2 linked regions of the Mytilus edulis genome follow. The protein of the gene in region 2 interacts with the protein of the main gene of each other region in a biochemical or structural test. Links are inferred from orthologs where the notes say so. Each region holds a gene or a part of one and is shown on either strand. Other genes may lie near its edges.

What was found.
Region 1: the proteins of DNA polymerase iota-like (region 2) and DNA polymerase eta-like interact in far-western blotting, tested with the Homo sapiens proteins (2 studies listed by BioGRID). The link is inferred for Mytilus edulis from reciprocal best matches to the Homo sapiens genes POLI and POLH.

What each region holds. Positions count from the first base shown.
Region 1 is NC_092346.1:54,548,744-54,560,316, reverse strand, and holds the start of DNA polymerase eta-like, read left to right. Parts: upstream 1-6,349; 5' UTR 6,350-6,368; intron 6,369-9,824; exon of another isoform or gene 9,825-9,836; 5' UTR 9,837-9,839; coding exon 9,840-9,964; intron 9,965-10,510; coding exon 10,511-10,645; intron 10,646-11,062; coding exon 11,063-11,241; intron 11,242-11,573. Other genes in the region: uncharacterized protein, read right to left, coding at 1-767. UniProt on the Homo sapiens protein: DNA polymerase specifically involved in the DNA repair by translesion synthesis (TLS). Due to low processivity on both damaged and normal DNA, cooperates with the heterotetrameric (REV3L, REV7, POLD2 and POLD3) POLZ complex for complete bypass of DNA lesions.
Region 2 is NC_092347.1:11,936,967-11,947,911, reverse strand, and holds the start of DNA polymerase iota-like, read right to left. Parts: upstream 4,569-10,945; 5' UTR 4,437-4,568; intron 1,580-4,436; exon of another isoform or gene 1,383-1,579; intron 1-1,382. Other genes in the region: uncharacterized protein, read left to right, coding at 5,891-6,622. UniProt on the Homo sapiens protein: Error-prone DNA polymerase specifically involved in DNA repair. Plays an important role in translesion synthesis, where the normal high-fidelity DNA polymerases cannot proceed and DNA synthesis stalls. Favors Hoogsteen base-pairing in the active site.

The DNA of each region.
Region 1 (11,573 bases), on a different chromosome or scaffold from region 2:
CATAACTTGTGCAGATAAAACTGAAGCGGACGAATGTGAAGTCGTCCCAATGGAATTACATCTGCCAGAGAGTTCAATAGACCCAGAAGTTGCAAGAATTGACGTGCTGTGACTGATTGAACCGTCAGGAATAAATGTATTTTCTGACATAGTTTTGTAAATTTCTCCTCTGGTGGGAGGACTAGGCCTACACTGGTTAGGAAATGTTCTCCCAGGAAAACAAAGTCTTGAGACGGAATTATCTCTGACTTTTTCCAAGAGATAAGGAAACCTAGGGACAGAAAACAATTGATGACCAAATCTGTCTGAACCCTCAAGTTGATTGGGCAAAATTCCTTGAGAAGGGAATCGTCCAGGTAGGAATGAATCTGAATAGACAGGGAATGTAGGTGAGCTATAGCTGCCTGCATGATTTTGGTAAAAGCCAAAGGGGCTGTAGACAGGCCAAAAGGGAGAGCCTTGAACTGGAAAACTTTGTTGTTCCAAACGAAGCGAAGGTATTTCCTGTAAGTTTGGGAAATGGGAATGTGGAAATACGCGTCTGAAAGATCCAGAGAAGTAGTCCACATTCCTGGAAGGATTGAAGCCCTGATGGATCTGTTTGTTTCTATTTTGAAGTGGGGAACAATAAGAAATTTGTTCAGAATAGATAGGTCTATGACCGGCCTCATTCCTCCAGTCTTCTTTGGAACCAGAAAAAGACGGGAATAAAATCCTGGAGACAGAGTTAAGATCGACACCTCCTCTATTGCAGCTTTTTGTAACATTGTGTCCACTTCTACTGATAGAAGTTGACACTTTACTGGGTCTTGAGTATGAGACAAACTTATTGGAACTGCAGACAGAGGAGGTGGGTTCTTGAACTGAAGTGTTAATCCCCCTCGAATTATTGACAGCACATAACAGTCTGAGGTAATTTTCTTCCACTGATTTAGGAAAAAACTTAACCTCCCCCCTACTGGTATTGATTTTTGAGGAACTTGTTGTAAATTTTCCCCTGGGGAAGCTGTCAATAACGTACGAGGGGGCAAGAACCTAGGTACTAGATCCAGGTTTCTTGGAACCCTTAAAACCACCAGAAGGCTTACCTGAGCTTTTTCCTGAGTTATTGGGTTTGTTCTGCGGTTTGCCGTAGTTATTCTTCCTTTTCTTAGCAGAAGAAGGAGGATAACCTGAAGCAGAAGTACTAGTAGAACTAGATGTAGCATTAACCGACCTTTTGCCATTAGTAACTTGTACACTAACTTTGACTGGAGGAGGGTTTTTGCTGAGTTCCTCTTGAACCCGCTGTAAGGGTAAACCAAACATCTTGTCAGAGAGTGGAGATTTCAGTAAAGAATCTTTCAAAGGCTCAGCGATAGAAATGTTTTCAAGAAACTCTGCTCTTTTAGATAGGGTGCAATTAGCAATAGAACCCATTAAAAGCAACTGAGATGAACCTAAAGCTTTATCCAGTTGAAGTAAGAAGGATCGTACTTCTGCTGGAACAACCGAATCTTCGCTGTTAAGCAAATGTCCGGTTGCAGCTAGAAAATGTTCGGCTGTACCAAGAACTTGAGAAGCACTACGAAGGAAATTCTCAGTCTTTGACCAAACAGGTTGAGTGAGACGAAGACCATCTACTGGCTTTTTTCCCAATAAAGATGACATAGATTTGTCACAACTGGGAACAAGTCTACCCAGTGAAGAATCAAAGATATCAAAATCCTTGTACTTAACCATATCAGAAAAGGATGACATTCCAAATCCTGAGATATTGTTATTAGCAACCTTTTCACTAGCAAAATTAGCGATACCTTCATTAATAAATTGTAAAGCAAAAGCCATATGGCCAGATTCAGGAAAAGAATTGTGAGAAGTCACAGTATCCTGAGAAATACCACAGGAAGCTTCAAAAGTTGAAGAAGGTTTCTTCGGCTTGGAAGGAGAGGCAAAAGGGATATGTGCTTCATCCCTCATCAAGGTATACACCTTATCCCTAAGATCCTTCAAGGAAGGAGGATCCTCGGTCTCCTTGGTGGGAGGTTGTTGAGCTGACTTAGAAGAAGGCTCAGGGGCCGTCTTCGATACCTTGGGAGAAGAAGAACTTTCAACATCCTCATCAGTGAGGAAAGCCCTTTCATGACTCCCAGGGGAAACAGAAAGCTCGTCATCCTCCCTCTCATCACATTCTACAGACTTAGCTGGAGAAGGTTGATGAGAAGAAACTCTATTCTCCAGTAGAGTCATACGACTGGATAGAGTACTAAATTCAGCCTTGAAAGACTCACCAAAGTCCAAAAGTAACTTCTGTAAACCATCCAAAGGTGATGCATGATCAGAAACCTGAGTACCATGAGAAGAACTAGAAGCTTGAGAGTCAGGTACGGTGGTAGAAGGAGCTACTGCAGAAGTCAAAGATACTGCTACGGGTAGAGCAGGAGCTAAAGGTGGTGCAGTAGCTACCCCAGAAGGGGGACCATAGAAATTGTCCCTATAAGGCCAAAAACCAGGTTGGTTTGGCATAAACCCACCATAAGGGTAAGACTGTGGCCAAGGTGGCTGAGACCATGAGGGTAAAGGTTGTGTGCCCGTGTTGGGAAGCATATACCCACAATAGGATAATGGGGGTCTAGAACCTGGCAAGTTCAAGCCCATAGCTGTACCTGGGACAGAACTAATAGTACCCGCTGAATTAACAGGCCTAGATAAAGTATGAGTCACCGAAGTTGACGTAGGTACCCCCCCAAAATGCATGGCCGAACCTTGTGAAAGGGTCGGATAGGTAGCATTACCAGACACCGTTGTCGAAACTCCGGTCAATGTACTGGTAGTTTGGGGGGGACTTAAAGGTAGTGACCCATCTAAGAGATAGTCCGAACCAGGAATACTTACATACGGACTATTCAAATTAAAGTCCATAATAAATTTTACTTTAGTAAAAAAAACACAAATAATTTGTTTAGAAATTTAAACAAAACAAGGGAATATATTTCCAATAAAATACACAATATATATGAAAAGCAATTAAGCTATTCAAAAAACTAAACACTTCTCTGTTGAATCTGTAAAACTTGATGTGCACGTGTGACCGATGTCGCAGATGGAAATTGAATGGAAGAATATGGGCAAACAGGGGTATATGTCCGGACCAGTGAGAGTAAGTTTATTTTTAGTCGGGATTTTCCATCTGACCTATGACGCAATTGGGGTTATACTCAGAATTTATGATGGTAACGGATTTATAGCTATAAAAACATTGAAGATTTTAAATGAAAAACACAAAAGACAATTGTTTTTTTTTAAAACAGCTTGATCCCTTTGATCTGAATAAATGAAACAATAAAATATAGCAATACACTATTATAACCAAAACATGATGAAATTTATTCAACACACAAAAAAAAACGTAGTCAGAAACTCACTTCATTTTGAAACAAGTCAATGAAACAAAGTTATAGCAATACACTAACCAAAACATGATTAAGAGTTATTCAACACAAAATATAAAGTTGACAGAATCCCACTTTATTTAGAAAGGATTTTTTTTTTTTAACAATTCACTTGGATTTGTATCAAAAGTAGTAAAAAAGAGTACAAATCTATTTCAGTTTTTTTTTAATGAGGTACAAATCATCATCAGTTATTACAGCTTTTACATTAATGCTAGCAAGACAAATCTTTGTTTGGCTTGCTTGCTTTGTTTGTATCAGTGTTTGCTCAAGCATGGTAATTAAGATAGGCGGGGCTTCAGCTTGTGTACATCATACTTAGATTTTATTGGACGTTATGTCTGAGGTTAAGGACACTTAATTTTAAAACATCACATGACAAATATTCTCACATGTTTTCTCACCTGTAAAAATACAATAATTTGTCAATGAAAGAAAAATATAAACTTTTTTCTTGTATGAGCTGAGAAACTGGCCTTTTCAACATTAATTGACCTAACATTGTTTTTATAACATATCAATCTATTAGTTCAGTCAGTTATTTCCATGTCTGTCCTTATGCAACTCGAAAAAATATTCCAAAAAATGGGAAACAATTGTATCGAAAAGAAAATCGAGTGCACCTTTTTTTTTATGTTAGGGTGTGTTTGAGATGAATATTTTGTCTTGAAAATGTACAAAACAAGAGTATTTGATACATCATCTCGCTTCAGACTCTATCTATCATTTTATATAGCAAAGCTACTACTAAAAGATGAAATATAGGGGTCAAGTGAAATACCTATCCAATGGATCACAAAATCAGAGTAGGTGTGTTCGAATAGCTATTTTACTAAAAGTGTTGACGACAGTCTTTAAGTTGGATCTCTGAAAAAAAATTGTCTTCCGTTTCTACGATTTTGAAAATGAACTGGCGAAGTAGGAAGATAATTTCGACGAAGTAGAATCCTGTCTGTATTGTATATTAACAGGTAAGGAAACATATGAGAATACGTGTCATGTGATGTTTTAAAATTTAGTGTCCTTAACCTCCAACATAACGTCCAATAAAATTTAAGAATGATGTATACAAGCTGAAGCCCCGCCTATCTTAATTACCATGCTTGAGCAAACATTGATACAAACAAAGCAAGCAAGCCAAACAAAGATTTGTCTTGCTAGCATTAATGTAAAAGCTGTAATTAAATATATAAGTTTGTTTTGATTGATATTTTTGTAACCTGGAGGACAAAGTTTAGACTGTCATGCTTGTCATAATATTGCACCATAGCTGATGCATTCTGCTTCTGCATTCAGAAAACATTTTATGGCCCTCTCCAAATAGCTCTTTAATGTGAAGGGATATTTCTCCGTAAACTGGTATCGTCACATCTTTTCCCCATTCGATGACTCCACACATGTTTCCCAAATTAGGAACCTTCTTCTTCTTCTTCTTTAGGTTTTCAGTCTTCAATGATCTGAAGATTATTTACTGTTTGCGCGCGCAGCGTGGCCTATATATATATTTACAAAAACAAAAGGGCCAAAACAAAAACAAAAATATTTGGAAATAAATTTGAGGTGCATAATTTATTAAAATTGTGATTAAAACTATGTACATAGGCTAATAATGAGTTAGATGAATTTGTGGAGAACAGCTGGTGTGAGCTGTTCTCTGAAAGTGTCGACTGTGGCGACAGCGACTGTTTGCATTGGCAATAAGTTCCACTGAGTTATGGTATATGGAAAAAATGAGTATTTATATGTATCTTTTTTGGTTGAAATGTGTCTAAAAGTATAATTATGGTTTTTGCGTGTTCTACTGTCTGATGGTATGAGAATAGCCGATGGTATAGCTACGATTTGATGTACTATTTTATAGAACATTATTAATCTTGTGCGAGTTCTTCTTTCCTGTAGAGTTGGCCAGTTTAGGGTGTTTATCATATCTGTCGGGCTACTGATGTTATGGTATCTGTTACAGACATATCTGGCAGCTCGCCTTTGGACCATCTCGATTTTTGAGGTTTGTTCAACTGTGTGAGGGTCCCATACTGAACATGAATATTCCAGTTTAGGACGGACTAGTGCCAGATATGCCTGAGTTTTGATGTTCTGACATGATGTTTTTAAGTTTCTTTTTAAGAAGCCCAGAGATTTGTTGCCATTAGCTATGATGTTGTCTGTATGTTTAGACCATTTTAGGTTTGCTTGAAGTGTAATGCCCAGATATTTAGCCGAAGAGACAAGTTCCAGTTTGTGATTGTGAAGGATATAGTCATGTTTAAATGGGTTTTTCTTCTGTGAGACTGTAAGGACTGTGCATTTGTCTGGATGGAAAGCCATCAACCAGTCTTGCTCCCACCTAGCAGCTGCATCTAAATCTAACTGTAGTGCATCACAGTCGCTTTGAGATTTGATGGTTTTGTAGATGATACTGTCATCGGCAAACAGTCTGAGCTTACTGGATGATAGGTATTCTGGTAGGTCGTTAATGTATACCAAGAATAATACTGGGCCCAGAACTGTGCCTTGAGGGACACCTGAGGTGACTGGGGCTAGGTCAGATGACTCTCCATCCAGGACAACTGTTTGTGTTCTGTCATTTAAGAATGCAGAGACCCAGTTTAAAGTTTCATTTTGGATACCGTAATAGTGTAATTTATAGAGTAATCTTTTATGAGGGACTTTGTCAAAGGCTTTGGCAAAGTCCATTATAATTAAGTCTATTTGAGTGTTGTTGTTATTATTTGCTGCAAGTTCTTGAATGAATGAAATGAGTTGTGTTTCGCAAGATCTAGACTGACGGAAGCCATGCTGGAGGTCATACAGTATGTTGTTCTTTTCAAGATGGTTGATGATGTGTTTTGTGATGATATGCTCCATAAGTTTACAGGATATACATGTCAATGATATAGGGCGGTAATTTTCTGGTTTATATTTAAAGCAGATGTTTATGTAAGTCCATCACATCGTGACCTCTAGATTTGATGTTGATGTTGTCAGTTTATTTTCGATTGATGAGTGTGAATATCCCTTCGGTATCCAGGTATCTTTCGCCCCTCTTTTCGATCAGTGTCATGAAACGAAAACGAGACGTTTTCATCAGAAAGCAGTGTCAGATTTAGAACTGTTCATCAGGGGGACCACTGACTGACCTGAGAGGGTCCTGGTCTAGTCATGTTTAATCAATCAAATTTTTTCGACGAAAAAAGGGGGGGGGGGTAGCATGCCAGAGGTATCTTCTTTCTTCTTCTTTAGTTACGGAATACCATCAACTTTTTGAGGATTACTTTCCGGCGCATGCCTGTATGAGGTCGCTTTAAGTTAATTTCATTTTTTTTATTACTTTTATTTATTTATGAAATTTACAATTTTTTTAGTTTCAATTTTTACATTTTTTATATATATTTTTTTATAACTATAAGATAAAAACAATAAGCACATTTAGTTCAGATGAGAGTATGTTTTAAGGAGCACCTCATGAGTGAGTTCAGGTATCAGGTTCCTTCGCGCCCAATACACTTTCGCACCCTACAAGTTCACACCTCCCACATTTGCACCTCTCACATTCGCACTTCACACATTCGTACCCAAGGTGACCCGTTCGCACTCTACACGTTCGCACCCAATTTTAATTCAAATTCCAGTTGGATAATTGGAAAATCATGATTGTTGTTATAAATTGCTTTGGTGTAAGTAAAACATTCAAGATTTTAAATGAAAAACACAAAAGATAATTGTTTTTAACAGCTTGGTCCCTTTGATCTGAAACAATAAAATATATTGCAATACACTATTATAACCAAAACATGATGAAATTTATTCAACACACAAAAAAAAACGTAGTCAGAATCTCACTTTATTTTGAAACAAGTCAATGAAACAAAGTTATAGCAATACACTAACCAAAACATGATTAAGAGTTATTCAACACAAAATATAAAGTTGACAGAATCCCACTTTATTTAGAAAGGATTATTTTTTTTTTTTAACAATTCAATATCCAAAACATGATTTAGATTTATTCAACACAATAAAAAATGCTGTCCCACTTTTTTTTGAGACAATGACAACAAATATAAAAATGGCAGTGTCTGCACATTGGATTTTCTATTAAACTGCGATCGGATCGGAATGAAACGTGAAATATATACGATAATCATCGATAATATTGGGATTTCGTGTAGAACGAGTGAAGAGTATGAAAAATGATATTTTCAAATTGTATTTATTAAATAATGATACATAAAAAAACATTGCAAAATTAAATGCACAATGATGGAAAATGAAACTGTACAGTCCCTGTAAAAGAAAAACATGATAGAAATAAATACTATTATAAAATTTAAATGAAAATGTAAAGAATAACATTTTAATAATTTAAAAATATACCCATATGATAATTTGAAATAATCTTTTAGTAAAATGTAAAACAGAAACGAAAATTTTAAAATATATAAAACTACTAAAAGGTTAAAATGAACAAAATTATAAAAAGATAATCAAGTAAACTATAAAAGAACCTTTTTTTTTTCAATCTATTATGTTTTTTCACTTGTTTGTAATGCAAAAGATAAAAATAAATCATTTTTTATTTTTAAAATAAGAATTCCATGACAATGTTTGATGTTTAAAGAAATTATAGTTAATATTCAAAAGAAAAAAGAAAAACTAACCAGGCACGTTTCTCATCTCAGTCAGTAATGTTGCTAATGTGCCTACATTTGATTGATGCGTCATAGGCCTGTGTATATTGTGCAGGTCTTTTAGCGTCACTACTTTCCCAGTTGACGATAGATCATATTGGAGGAGTTTTTTTTTTGCCTTCATTTTAAGCATGTTTTTGACATCTAGTTTCCTTTGTCTAGTCAGATGCTCAAATAGACATTTATTGATCTCATGATTGTGAAAACTGTGTGATTCCCTCACAATCAGGTTTTGTCCATCTTTAGTTACGCCAAGTTTAATGTGGAAAGGACATTAAAAAAACTTAAATAAACGCTGCAAATTCGAAAATACAATTTAAAACAAATACCTTGTATTAGGCCTTTTTCCTGTCGAATTAGTTTGGAATTTTTCCCACCATGAATGCAGGAAAAATTTATACTGTTGTACTTTAAATCTTCTTTAATTTTTGTGCTCCCGGTTCTTCTTTTCTCTGCGGCTGCTATAGATTCCTAATTTCTTGTATACAATTGTATGAAATTTAACGCCTGATAGTTCTGTACAAATTTTTCTAATTCATGATAAGTCTGAAATGTATTCCCCACAGTTATAATATCACTCTCTTTCATTTTAAGAATATTTACTTACTGAGAAAAAACTGTTCACTTACCTATATATAAATGTGTATATTTATAAAAATTCTGAGTAGTTTAATCAGTTTATTCACTAATTGCAAAAAATTCCGTTTATATTTCACGTTTCATTCCCGATCCGACGGCATTTTATTATAAAACCAGACGTGGGTACGCGCAGCCTAGAACGGCAATTTGACTATTCGTACACGCAGACACTGCCTATAAAAATACACTTGCCAAAACTTGATTACAAAGCTATAGTTATTAAACACAAAACCAATTAAAATTGGGCGCGAACATGTAGGGTGGGAAAGTGAAAGGGGCGAACATGAGTTGGTGCGAATGTGAATGGGCGTGAACGGACCCGGAATCCCTGCCAGACCCCTGCCAGTGCTCTTGGTCTTGGATCAGACTATGGAAATTAAATTGCATTTACCATCACACGACAAAACTTAACCCTCTTACTGCCATCAGTTTTTTAAGGTGACGCTACATGACAAACAATGATGTCATTCAATTTATGACGTCACACTCTTATGACCATAACAGTTGGAATCCATTGAAGAAAAGCATTAAACTATTAAATCTTTTGAATTTACGAATGATATGATTACTTAAAATGTTTTCCCTCACAATTAACAAATCGTTATTGTTCTACCAATACACGATTTTTTACTTTCAGTACTTAGTTTTTGATTTATTTTGTTTGTGTGTTTAATTTTGGCACTTTCATTGGAGGCACCAAATAAACCAAAAATAAATCTACAACCAAAATAATCCAATTTACGGTACATACATGTATCATGAAAACTTTGTGTGAACAGACTAACAACAAATACTGACATTTTCTGAAACAAGGTTGAAAATGTGTTGCCAAATTATATATCAGTCAGTTGAATATCAGAACATGCATGAACATGGTGATCACTGTTTCATACAGATTAAAGCATGCATTTGTTTTATGTTGAAAGAAGGGGTTCCTTATTGTATGTCTTGTCCTGTCAATTTATTATGAGTTTTACCAGAAGTTTTATCGTTATTGTTGTGGTGTACATGTGTTTTCAGAAATATCTGTTGATAAATATTTATTTTGACATTATTTTTCTTTCAGGATATATTACAGACCATGGACAGAGTCATAGCCTTAGTAGATATGGATTGTTTCTATGTACAAGTGGAACAAAGATTACAACCAGAATACAAGGGAAACCCATGTGCTGTCGTTCAATACAAAAAATGGAAAGGAGGAGGGTAAGCAAGTTTTCTGCTGTTTATATAGATTTAAGATTATTATAATGTTTCACATGTACCATCTCTTACTGACAATCATGAAAAATTGTACACACATACACAGCTACACAATAAACATTGTATCTTATAATTATACCTGTTAAAATGTTTTGTTCATTGAATCACTCAGCAATATCCATGATAGGTACTTCATGAGCCAAATTGTTTGCCAAACACTTGTTTGTGTCATGAACAAGAAACATGATTAAGTGTAAACCATGATAAATGGTGTCAAATGTAGGCCTGACTTATAAGATGATATCTGAAACTTTTTGATAAGTTTCTTGTAACAGTCTTAAAATAGCTAAGTGTACAGTTAGGTCAGGATAAGATTTATTGTACAAATTTTGTAATTGATGTGAATGCAAACTTCCAGTCAATCATAGAACAAAGGATTGACATGTTGCTGTAAAAAAAAAAAGACAGAAAGGTTTGTGAAATTCATGATTTAACCCGTTGACTGAAACAACTTGGAAGTTTTCTATAGTTTATTTTTGTTATTTGTAGGATAATAGCTGTAGGATATGAAGCAAGAGCTTGTGGTGTAAACAGGAACATGTGGGGTGATGATGCTAAGAAAGTGTGTCCAGACATACACTTCTTTAGAGTACCAGAGTACAGAGGAAAAGCTGATCTTACTAAGTATATTGTTTTTATTTCAATCGTCATGAACTTCAGTTGTTTAATAATGTGTATTTTCAGACTACTTGTCAGACTATAAGTCATCTACCAGTAGGTACATGAGTACTTTGAATTAAATGAATCTTATACGTCTTTTGTAGTAGATACTATCTCTTGTCATTAAAAAAAATATATGAGTTTGATGAATCGTTTTAAAGCAAATTGACTGTGGAATTAAAGGCTGATCAATTATAGTGCTCTTAAAGGGTAAGCAGTTTCTACTTCAAAAAAGTCACCTGGCAATTTTTATGAAAGTAAAAAGTCACATATGGAAGTTTTATTTGAGCCTATTATCTCTGTTTTAGCTAGCCCCCTGTATCATGTTGTTCTTAAAGTCATGAAAAACTGCATTTCAAATATTCATTATATCTTTTTAAGGTTTAGAGATGCAGGTAAAGAAGTGATTAATGTTCTGAGTAAGTTCAGTGACTGTGTAGAGAGAGCCAGTGTTGACGAGGCATACATTGATCTTACAGAAGAAGTTAAAAGAAGGATGGACAAAAGAGCACAGCCAGAACTGCTACAGAATACACACATTGTAGGCTTTGAACAAGAAGGTATTTTAAAATGTCACCTTTTCTACTCGATAGATAATTTTTGTGGAGGACATGCTACTTTTATAAATAACAAAAAAAGATGTAGTATGACCGCTAATGAGACAACTCTCCACAAATGACCAAAATGACACAGAAATTAACAACTATAAGTCACCGTACAGCCTTCAACAATGAGCAAAGCACATACAGCATAGTTAGCTATGAAATCATGAAATGACAATGTAAAACAATTCTAACGAGAAAACTAACGGCCTAATTAGTTTATCATTACACATTACACAAGTAAAAAAAGTTAAAAAGTATGCAGCCTTTCCTGAAATCATTGTATCTAA
Region 2 (10,945 bases):
TATATTTGTTGTATGGAATGGTTGTAAGGTGTACATGTCTAGCGGGCAGATGCCATCTGACCTTGACCTCATTTTCATGGTTCAGTGGTCAAAGTTAAGTTTTTAAGTTTTGGTCTTTTTATCTAATATTATATGCCAAAGGTCAACTATATTTGGTGTATGGAAATATATTATGATCTATATGTCAGTCACGCAGGTTTTAATTGACCATGACCTCAATTACACGGTTCATTGCCCAGTGTTAAGTTTTTGTGTTTTGGTCTATTTTTCTTAAACTATAAGTAATAGGTCAACTATATTTGTTGTATGGAAGCTTTGTTAGCTGTACATGTCTGCCTGGCATGGTTCATCTGACCTTGACCTCATTTTCATGGTTCATTGGTCTTTGTTTAGCTATCATGGTTAATGTTAAGTTTATGTGACAGTTGTAATCAAGCTTTATACTTAGGACTATCAACATAATATCAATGATTAGTAAAGAAGGCGAGACATTTCAGTGTGGGCACTCTTGTTAATAAAATACGACGTTTATCGATGCATTGTTTTTTATTCAGAATTCACGGAGTTTACTTCCGGAAGGGAGACAACTCGAAACGATAATATGGAAGACTCCATTTTGCCTGAAGGGGTGTTCTAGTAACATCTTGACGATGTGGACTACATTCATTTTAATTCAAATGATGCATATGATTTAAAATTATGCAACAACAATAACCCTAAATGGCAGACATACATAGAAAAGATCCAATGAGTTATAAATTAACTAATTGAGTGGGGAATCCAGAGCAACCATTCAATCTAATACCCCTTGAAGTCAACAAAACTATACGCATGCGCATAATTACCAAAAACAAAACCTGGAGCAAGAACGTATATTAAATGTCTATTAAACGACCTAGATGATTCTCTATTTCTGTATGGAAATACAATCTCAAATATCAGTTTCATAACGGCAACATATATAAGAAAAACTCCACTTCAGTTCTTATATGACAGAAATAGATTTATCGGAATTCAGAGAACTCTCGCATTTTTATCAAAACTGGGGAATTCCCTCTGACGTGTTTCTAAATTTCTAAAAACACTAAATATTAATACTGCTTAATTCTGATTTTCCGTGTTGTTAAAAACATGCATATAAGTCAAGTGAATTATCAAACATGCAGATTATGAAAAGAACATTATAGGAAAGTTGTTTAAGTTCAATCCCTTTGTTTGATTTTACCTTTTAAAGAAAGACAATCATAACAATCTGTGATGTTCCTTAATGTTTAGAATGAAAGTTAAAACGGTTGACGTGAGGGCATTGCCCTGAGCCAATGGTAAAAGTCTACAGATTGCTTGAAAGCAATCGTATCCCAAAAAATGATATTTGACTTTACTTTGATATGAATTTGATGTTAGGACATAAACTGTTAAATTGGCAGTGCATCATCCCAAATGGCACATCAGCTTGCTCATATCTGCCCGACTCTTATTAGTGCCAAATTACGTTGACAAAAACTTTACTTTCGTTTTTAAAATCACATTTTCCTAATACGAGATGTTGACTTGACAATGCTAAACATGCTAAAACATGGACCAGAAACGTAAAATCTGTGTATGTTTACAAAGCACGACTGAGTGAAGAAGCTTTTTCCACATTATTTCTTCAAAAAAATACTTAAAATGTATGTAGGAAGCATAATTTACAAATTTCCCACCTGCACACACGAGCACACGTGTCCTAGTTCATACAACGTAGTTCTGACAATTTTTCATTTAATACCTTTTTAATTTTTTTTTATCATGTTTATCAAACCATGTATGTTTATAAACATATTTCTTATAATTTTAATCTGTTGGACTAAATCAGTTTGATAGAAACCGCTGAAATGTAAGAAAATAACTTTAAATTGACCAATCAATTTAAACGATGCCTGTACTGAAAATAGTTTACCTGTCACCTGAACAGGTAGTTTTTCAGTTGTCCAACAACTAATTAGCCTTGATTAAAGTCAGAAAGTATTGAAGTAGGGGTTGTTTTGATACTAATTAATCATCATGTCATTTTATGGCTGGAAACGTGTGGCTGTCAAAGGCCAAAGGTTAGCTAAAAAAGATAGTGAAATACATGTACAATGTATGTCAAATGACTGTCTCTGTAAAAAGCATTGACTACATAAAAGTAGATGACCGTTTCATGTTTTGCCCAGACAGACTTTTACCGGACATTAAACAATTGTCCGGAATATATGACCGTTTTGGAAGCCTTGATTAAGTGTGAACTAATTCCATGAAAATTGGTGATGTTCTCCAATAAATGAATGTAACAAAAGATGTTGCATTAGAATCAATGTTTAATTATCTTACATGTGTTAACAAATATCAATTCAAAGCTTTTTATCCACGGATATAGTCAGCTGGGAATAATAAACTTTGAATTGATAGTAATTAGCAAATTACAAGTTAGTTCTAGTATATTTATGAAATTATGTTCATATTATCACAGGAGTTTGAAATCTTATCAATAAGGGGGTAAAAATATACCAAATACATGAAATACGAGAGAAGCTCTACTGTGATTATGTAAAGCAAAATTATATCCGGGTGAAATTTGATCCGGAGGAAAAAATGTCACAGTAGTTGTTGTTATTGTTTTATCCGGAGGTAAATATTTCCCTGGGATATTTTTTCTTTTACCGTGAAATTCTATCTGGGTAGTTAACTTATTGAATAGTTATAAGAAAAAAAAATCCTTTACAAATACTATGAAATAATAATAGTGTATTTAAATTAAACCTATTTTGTAAAAAAAATAATGTATTATTATGGGAATTATTTCACAAATTATCATTGAAAAAATTTCCTGAAAAAATTCAAGTAAATATCATTCTTTTGAAAAGAAAATTATCAGTTCACAAGAAAGAAAATAGGAAAAAATTTCAAAGATCGTAATTGTGAAATAATATCATGATTAAATAAGGTAAGTGTAATACATGTAAAAGTGAGTTGTTTTCAGATCTCAGTACAAATATAAATTAAAACGTAAAGGTAGAAATATAGTTGCATTACTACTGTTAACAGTAATGGAAGAATTTGATTACGATAATATTTTTAACTATATAAATAGTCTGGGAACAAAGATGTTGTTGTTGATTATATGGAAATCAGATAAATTATAGCATAACAATATATTGGAACAAAAGAAATTTTAACAGCTGGATAGTATTAACCTGTGAAATGTTATCTGTCTTATTAAAAATTCATGTTGTAAGTCATCTTGTTATAAATGAATATATAAAAAATAAGATTCAAGGAAAAATTTCGCTATGAAATAGATTCAGGAATATATTATATTAATATCCTTAAAATATGAATTGCTCATAATTACCTCCCTTTGATAAATTATGCAAATTTGTTCTACCTTTGACTTTGTGAAACATTTTATAATTAAAGTCAGGTATATAATGATTGCGAGTAACTTACTTACTAGTTAATGGGACTATATCTCACAAGGTTCTGTGAAATATGATATATGTCAAATATATACCGGTACATACTATCCGCATAACAGATAGATTTTCACTCCTCTGGAAAAGTTCTACCTGTGAAATACCATGCCTGGAAAAAAATTACCTTGACAAATTATCCTCAGGATAGAATATCACAGAGGAAGAAATATAGATTCTTACACTGCAACAAGTGTATTACGACATTTCTCCACTTGAGACAGTTAAATTTTATTATTTAAAGCGCGAGGCTTGCCGTCACAATAGGAAAATTGAGAAGAAAACAAAACATTTTGACGTCATAATCAAATTTCGACTAATCATTTGCCGAGAACAGATTTTTCACTAGTGAGGAGAAATATTTTTCTCACACTGGTCAGGAAATGTGAAAATAGCACAAAAATTAGAGAAATAAACTGTTACAATAGTCGACTTTGGTATATTTTTACCCCCTTATTGATAGGATTTCAAACTCCTGTGATATTATACACACATAGATGACGATGGACATGATGGACACCAAGTGATGATAAAAGCTCACTTTGGGCCAGGTGAGCTTAAAACAGTCTTGCCCACAAGAACCTATCATATTCATTTGAAATTACACAAAAAACAGCTCTGTTTTGTGATAAACGTCAGTGTAAGGGGTCTCATTGGGGGGTTCTGATCCCGGATCCCGCTTACTGTTTTGTCAGATTCCCGTATGCCGCTTATACTATGTACCTAAGCAATTCTCATTTTTTTTGTAATTTCCCGTGTCCCGCTAGCCCTTAATTCCCGTTTTCACGGCACAATAATTTGACTTTCCCGTATCACGCTTACGAAAAATCGGCAATCCCGCGTCACGCTTAGACCCCAATGAGACCCACAGTGTACGTTGAAAGTGGATCTTCCCATGCCTGTGCTGGATTTTCTATAGAGTAAACGTTATTTAAATTGCATCACCTTCATGTTTTCCCTAATATCTGATAGACATGGGACTAGTATAATAATAGGATAGACTGTTGTAGTGATGAATGTTTTTGCTTCTTTTTTTTCAGCAGGGAATGTATAAGTAAGGGGAAAGAAACCAATTTTTTCCTTTTTTAAACCACAGGAGTTTACCGACGTTGTTTCACTGGATCTTTACTTAAGAAAACCATTTCAGATACACCTAAAATACCAACATTGAACCTAAAAAAAAATCGTCACAATATGAGGGTTTGGATGGGGTTAAATAATTTAAGAATAATGCCCTTAAAAATAAAGATTAGAGAATAACGGGCAAAAAAAATGAAGATTAGAGAAAAAAGGGGTTAATTTTTTGAAGATTAGAGAAAAAAGGGGTTAATTTTTAAAAGATTACGGAGAAAAAAGGGGTTAAAATTAAATGTTTACAGAATAACAGAATCCAGACCATCCAATACACATATTTCACGTTAATCATTTGCTAAACCTCTCTAATAAATGGGTTTTGTGTATTTGTGCAGAAACATGTATACTATACGTCTCTGATTTGTGCTATTTCGTGTGTTTAATGATATAAAGGATATAATCTTAATATTTAGTAGAAACTGTTACACCAGCCTAACTAATTTCACTTGTCGTGATATTTTAAAACTTCCATCTTACTCTGTTCATTTTTGGGATAATATTGACAACAACTAATAATTTCCCCATTCATATAACAAATGTTCAGGTTTCCTGTGTTCGGAGATTTATGTGAAACTATATATCATGTATACTTATGTTTGGTCATTTAATTCTGAAAATTTTCATGGACTGTCATCATTGTTATCTTTAAAATAAAGCTATATTTGACAAATTTTCCAGTTTCCTATAATTTCGGAGAATTTATGATAAAATCTCTGTTTTTGTCTCGAAATATTTATTATATATCTAGAAATTTTGCCAGTTTCCTTATACAATTATGTGTGATGTACAAAATAGATTTATATTTAAGTTAAGGTTGATGCTCAATCAATAACATAAATATTTTATATTTCTCAGTTTTCATTTGATTGTTTTTATTAAAAAACAAGAATGTTTCCTCAGTACACGGATGTCCATCCGCACTATCCTTTTCTATGTTCTATGGACCGTTTGTCATTGAAATCAGAAAGATCATATCATAGGGAACATGTAAACTAAGTTTTTTAAAAGTTGATTTGACTTCAACTTCATCAAAAACTACCTCGACAAAAAACTTTAACCTGGTACTAGGACCCATCCTCTTCCTGTGTCATATAAATGATCTCCCAGATGCAGTAAACTCATCAGTACGACTATTTGCAGACGACTGTTTGCTCTACCGGGAAATCAAAAACCAAAATGACCATAACAAACTACAAGAGGATCTCAAATCACTAGAAAAATGGGCCGACGACTGGGGTATGCGCTTCAACGCCAAAAAATGCTATATGCTTAGCCTGAAAAGTAAAAGTCAGCGTTTTTACAACCTTAACAACCACACGCTTGAACAAGTGTCATCCAACCCATACCTAGGACTCCAAATACAAGAAGATCTTAAATGGAAAGAACAAATAACAAATACGTGTAACAAAGCTAGTTCTACCCTAGGCTTCCTTAGAAGGAACCTACAACACTGTCCTATGGAATGCCGTAAAACAGCATATATAGCTCTCATACGATCAATAATGGAGTATGGATCAATTATTTGGGACCCATATACCCAAAAAGACATTGACAAACTAGAATCCATACAAAAGAGAGGTGCTAGATTCATTACCAAAGACTACAAATCAAGAGAGGAAGGATGTATGACAAAAATGCTAAAAGAACTTCAACTCTTGTCATTACAATCAAGACGCCAACAACAACGACTGATCTTCTTTTTCAAAGTGGTTGAGAGGAAGATACCAGCGCTTCCTCCCGACGATTTAATCCAATTTCATAGACCAAAGAGACAAATCAAAGCAACAACATATAATAACTTTGTAACAAAAAACATTATAGACCACCAAGTCCGTAACAACAAACGTGCGGTCATAGTTCCAACCAGTAAGACAGAACAATACAAGAACTCTATTTTTGTGCGCACTGCAATAAACTGGAACCATCTGGAAGACTCAGTAGTGTGCGCCACTACTACCGAGGAGTTTAAATCAGCACTCCTCAGCAAGCGCGACTAATTGTGCGCAGACCAACCCGTCACATAATAGCCGAAAGGAATCTGTGACGTACCCATCCTAATTACACAAGTGGGAAATACAGACAGAATACAGACAGAATCGCGAGGAACGGACGGACGGACGAACAGACGGACGAACAGACGTACGCACAGACCAGAAAACATAATGCCCATAAATTGGGACATAAAAACTACTTTTTATTTTAGCCTGAACTCATTTTTTCCACAACACTATTAACAACCTAGAGTTTTAGTATCTCAGAACCATATCAGGATCTGCGTGCCCTTCTGGAGTACATGAGATCAGCTTTGTTCTTTCTGGGGTTTGTATTGCTCAGTCTATTCTTCTATGTTGTGTTTTGTGTATGATTGTTTTTTTTCGTCTTTTTATCACATAACGTTGTCATCTATTTTTCGACAATTGTGATCATGAGTTTGAAAAGCCTTTTGATATTTTTGGCCTCTCTTTAATGATACCATGGACACAACACGCCCTCAAGTTTTTATTGATGTTTTAAACCTATTTTCTGGATATATTGGTTAGATAATAAAGCCATCGATTTAAAATAACGATATTTCCAGTTATAACATTAGATATATTGAATGTAGCTGAAGGGGTAGACCCAGAAAATTGTCAAATGAGTGTCATCAAAGCCAACTTTCAAATGAGTGTCACCAAAACTAACTTTCAAATGAGTGTCACCAAAACGAACTTTCAAATGAGTGTCACCAAACCGAACTTTCAAATGAGTGTCACCAAAACGAACTTTCAAATGAGTGTCACTATTATTGAAATCTAGGTCATTAATGTAAGAAAAAAATAAATGTCATAACACATGGTTCAAGTAAGTTGATCCCATTTTCATATTTTACCACCTTGGTGGTTTTCTGGTAGCGACCTCGCCTCTACAGTCAGGATTATACTTCTTCAATATTATCTCCCCATTACGTCTTTTCTCGACTATTGGTACGTTGCACGCAAAACATTTTCAGAAACATGACCACGCCATTTGAACGCTCAACTTCGCAACTGGTCCGAGAACACAATTATTTCGTAGTGCATTTCTTTTAGAACATAAATGAAAATAAAAAAAATCCCACCTGCGCTTTCTCAAAGAAACTTTTACAGTGTGGTTGTACTACTTTTGGAACAAATTATATCAAAATTATAGAAAACTTCATCGTCTCTAACTCAAAATATGGACAATTTTATGTTTAGGGCGTCTTGAAATCTTTTGACAGCTTCCGAAGTGCTAATTTTCAACCTTTTTCAGCTGGACCAAATCACTACTTTCCTTTAAAATTCTGGACCCAAATTTTTTTACAGTGTAATTTCACCCCCATACTTGCAATTTGAGGCAATAAACATGGAGAAATAAATTTGGAAGGAGTATAAAAATTAATGGCAAGTAACCCACTGTCAACACTAGCGACTATATTCGTGAACAACGAAAAACAAGGGACGACAATTGTGGTCTCGGACCAACTGGTTACAATCCTGTCGATTATTCTGAGAATGACAAACATGTTTGGAAGATTAAACTTCTAAAGTTATTGTTTTTCTTAATGCTTGTTGTTGCTGTGTTTAGCATGTTTCCAGAATACAACCACAGTTTGACTTTGGAGTAAAACCCACTTATCCAAATAAGTCGAACCTATAAAAATTACACCGGTTAATAAGTTTCGAGCTATAATATGCTAATAACATTAAAAGTTCGTTGGCACTTTGGCAGAATTGCATGATATACTGAATATATAAAAGGTTGGAAATAGAGAAGTTAGAGTGTGTTGATTATACGAAAAAAATGTATTTTGGTTTTAAATTTTATATGGACCTTTGATCTATAACTTTTAAAATGTGGAGTGAAAGAAATCAAGTATTGGGAACTTGTATGAACACATGAATATTATTAAAACTATAAAATAGATTATATACCGATATATAGTATTTTCTTTGAAATAAATGTTTTTATCAATAGCTTTCTATCTCTCGCAAAAAGGATATCCTGCGTTTGACCCTTTATTGAACAGGAAGATCTGTTCTTACTAACTTTCCTTGAATTACTGGTTTTAAATTAAATTTTATACGCTCAGAAGATATCACAGATGAAACAGGCAGAAGACGAATAAACAAGCGGACGATAAATACGGGTAAGATTCATTGAATTATATCAGATATAACAGATGGAAAAGACAGAAGGAAAATATACAAGGGGTCGATAAATACCGGTAAGATTCATTGAAATATATCAGTTATAACAGATAGAACAAACAGAAGGAGAATATACAAGGGATCGATAAATACCGGTAAGATTTATTGAAATATAACTGATAAAACAGATGGAAAAGACAGAAGGAGAATATACAAGGGGTCGATAAATACCGGTAAGATTCAGAATATACAAGGGATCGATAAATACCGGTAAGATTTATTGAAATATAACTGATAAAACAGATGGAAAAGACAGAAGGAGAACATACAAGGGGTCGATAAATACCGGTAAGATTCATTGAATTATATCAGATATAACAGATGGAACAGACAGAAGGGGAATATACAAGGGGTCGATAAATAACGGTAATGTTCATTGAATTATATCGGACATACCAGATGGAAAAGACAAAAGGGGAATATGCAAGGGTTCGATAAATACCGGTAAGATTCATTGAATTATATCAAACATAACAGATGGAAAAGACAGAAGGACAATATACAAGGGTTCGATAAATACCGGTAAGATTCATTGAATTATATCAGACATAACAGATGGAAAAGACAGAAGGAGAATATACAAGGGTTCGATAAATACCGGTAAGATTCATTGAAATATATCAGACATAACAGATGGAAAAGACAGAAAGAGAATATACAAGGGTTCGATAAAAACCGATAAGATTTATTGAAATATATCAGATATAACAGATGGAAAGACAGAAGGAGAATATACAAGGGGTCGATAAATACCGGTAAGATTAATTGAAATATATCAGATAAAACAAACGGAAAAGACAGAAGGAAAATTTACAAGGCGTCGATAAATACCGGTAAGATTTATTGAATTATATCAGATATAACAGATGGAAAAGACAGAAGGAGAATATACAAGGAGTCAATAAATACCGGTAAGATTTATTGAATTATATCAGATATAACAGATGGAAAAGACAGAAGGAGAATATACAAGGCGTCAATAAATACCGGTAAGATTTATTGAATTATATCAGATATAACAGACGGAAAAGACAGAAGGAGAATATACAAGGCGTCAATAAATACCGGTAAGATTTATTGAATTATATCAGATATAACAGATGGAAAAGACAGAAGGAGAATATACAAGGCGTCAATAAATACCGGTAAGATTTATTGAATTATATCAGATACAACAGATGGAAAAGACAGAAGGAGAATATACAAGGTGTCAATAAATACCGGTAAGATTTATTGAATTATATCAGATATAACAGATGGAAAAGACAGAAGGAGAATATACAAGGCGTCAATAAATACCGGTAAGATTTATTGAATTATATCAGATATAACAGATAGAACAAACAGAAGGGGAATATACAAGGGGTAAATAAATAACGATAAGATTCATTGAAAAATATCAGATCCTCATTATTAATTTTAGCTACAAGCCTACATACGATGATATAATGGCTATAAATATAGCTTCAGTATAACATAAGTAGATGCTGTTTTATTGTCAAATGAGACCAGAGCTCAACTGTGGGGATGGCGCATTTTAGGCCACCATACGGCTTTCAACAATGAACCAGAAAATCCACAATGGCCGTATTTAGCTTTAATAAAAAAAAAAAACACAGACACGAAAAATGTACAACAATTCAAACAGGAATATTAACGGCCTAGTTTATAACAATCCCATTTACGCCATTATATATAAAACAAATACTACAGACACATGAACCAACGACCGTTCATTGAATTACTGGCTCCTGCTGATGGACGTTTCGTCCCCGAGGTATCACCAGCCCAGTAGTCAGCACTTCGCTGTTGACATGAATATCTATTATGTGGTCATTTTTATAAATTTCCTGTTTACAAAACTAAGGATTTTCTTATCCCAGGAATAGATTACCTTAGCCGTATTTGGCACACCTTTTTGGAATTTTGGAACCTCAATGCTCTTCAACTTCGTACTTATTTGGCTTTATAAATATTTTGATATGAGCGTCACTGATGAGTCTTATGTAGACGAAACGCGCGTCTGGCGTACTAAATTATAATCCTGGTACCTTTGATATATATCCTGAAATAGGACAGGCGAGGTTAAACATATGTGTGGGCACTCAACCC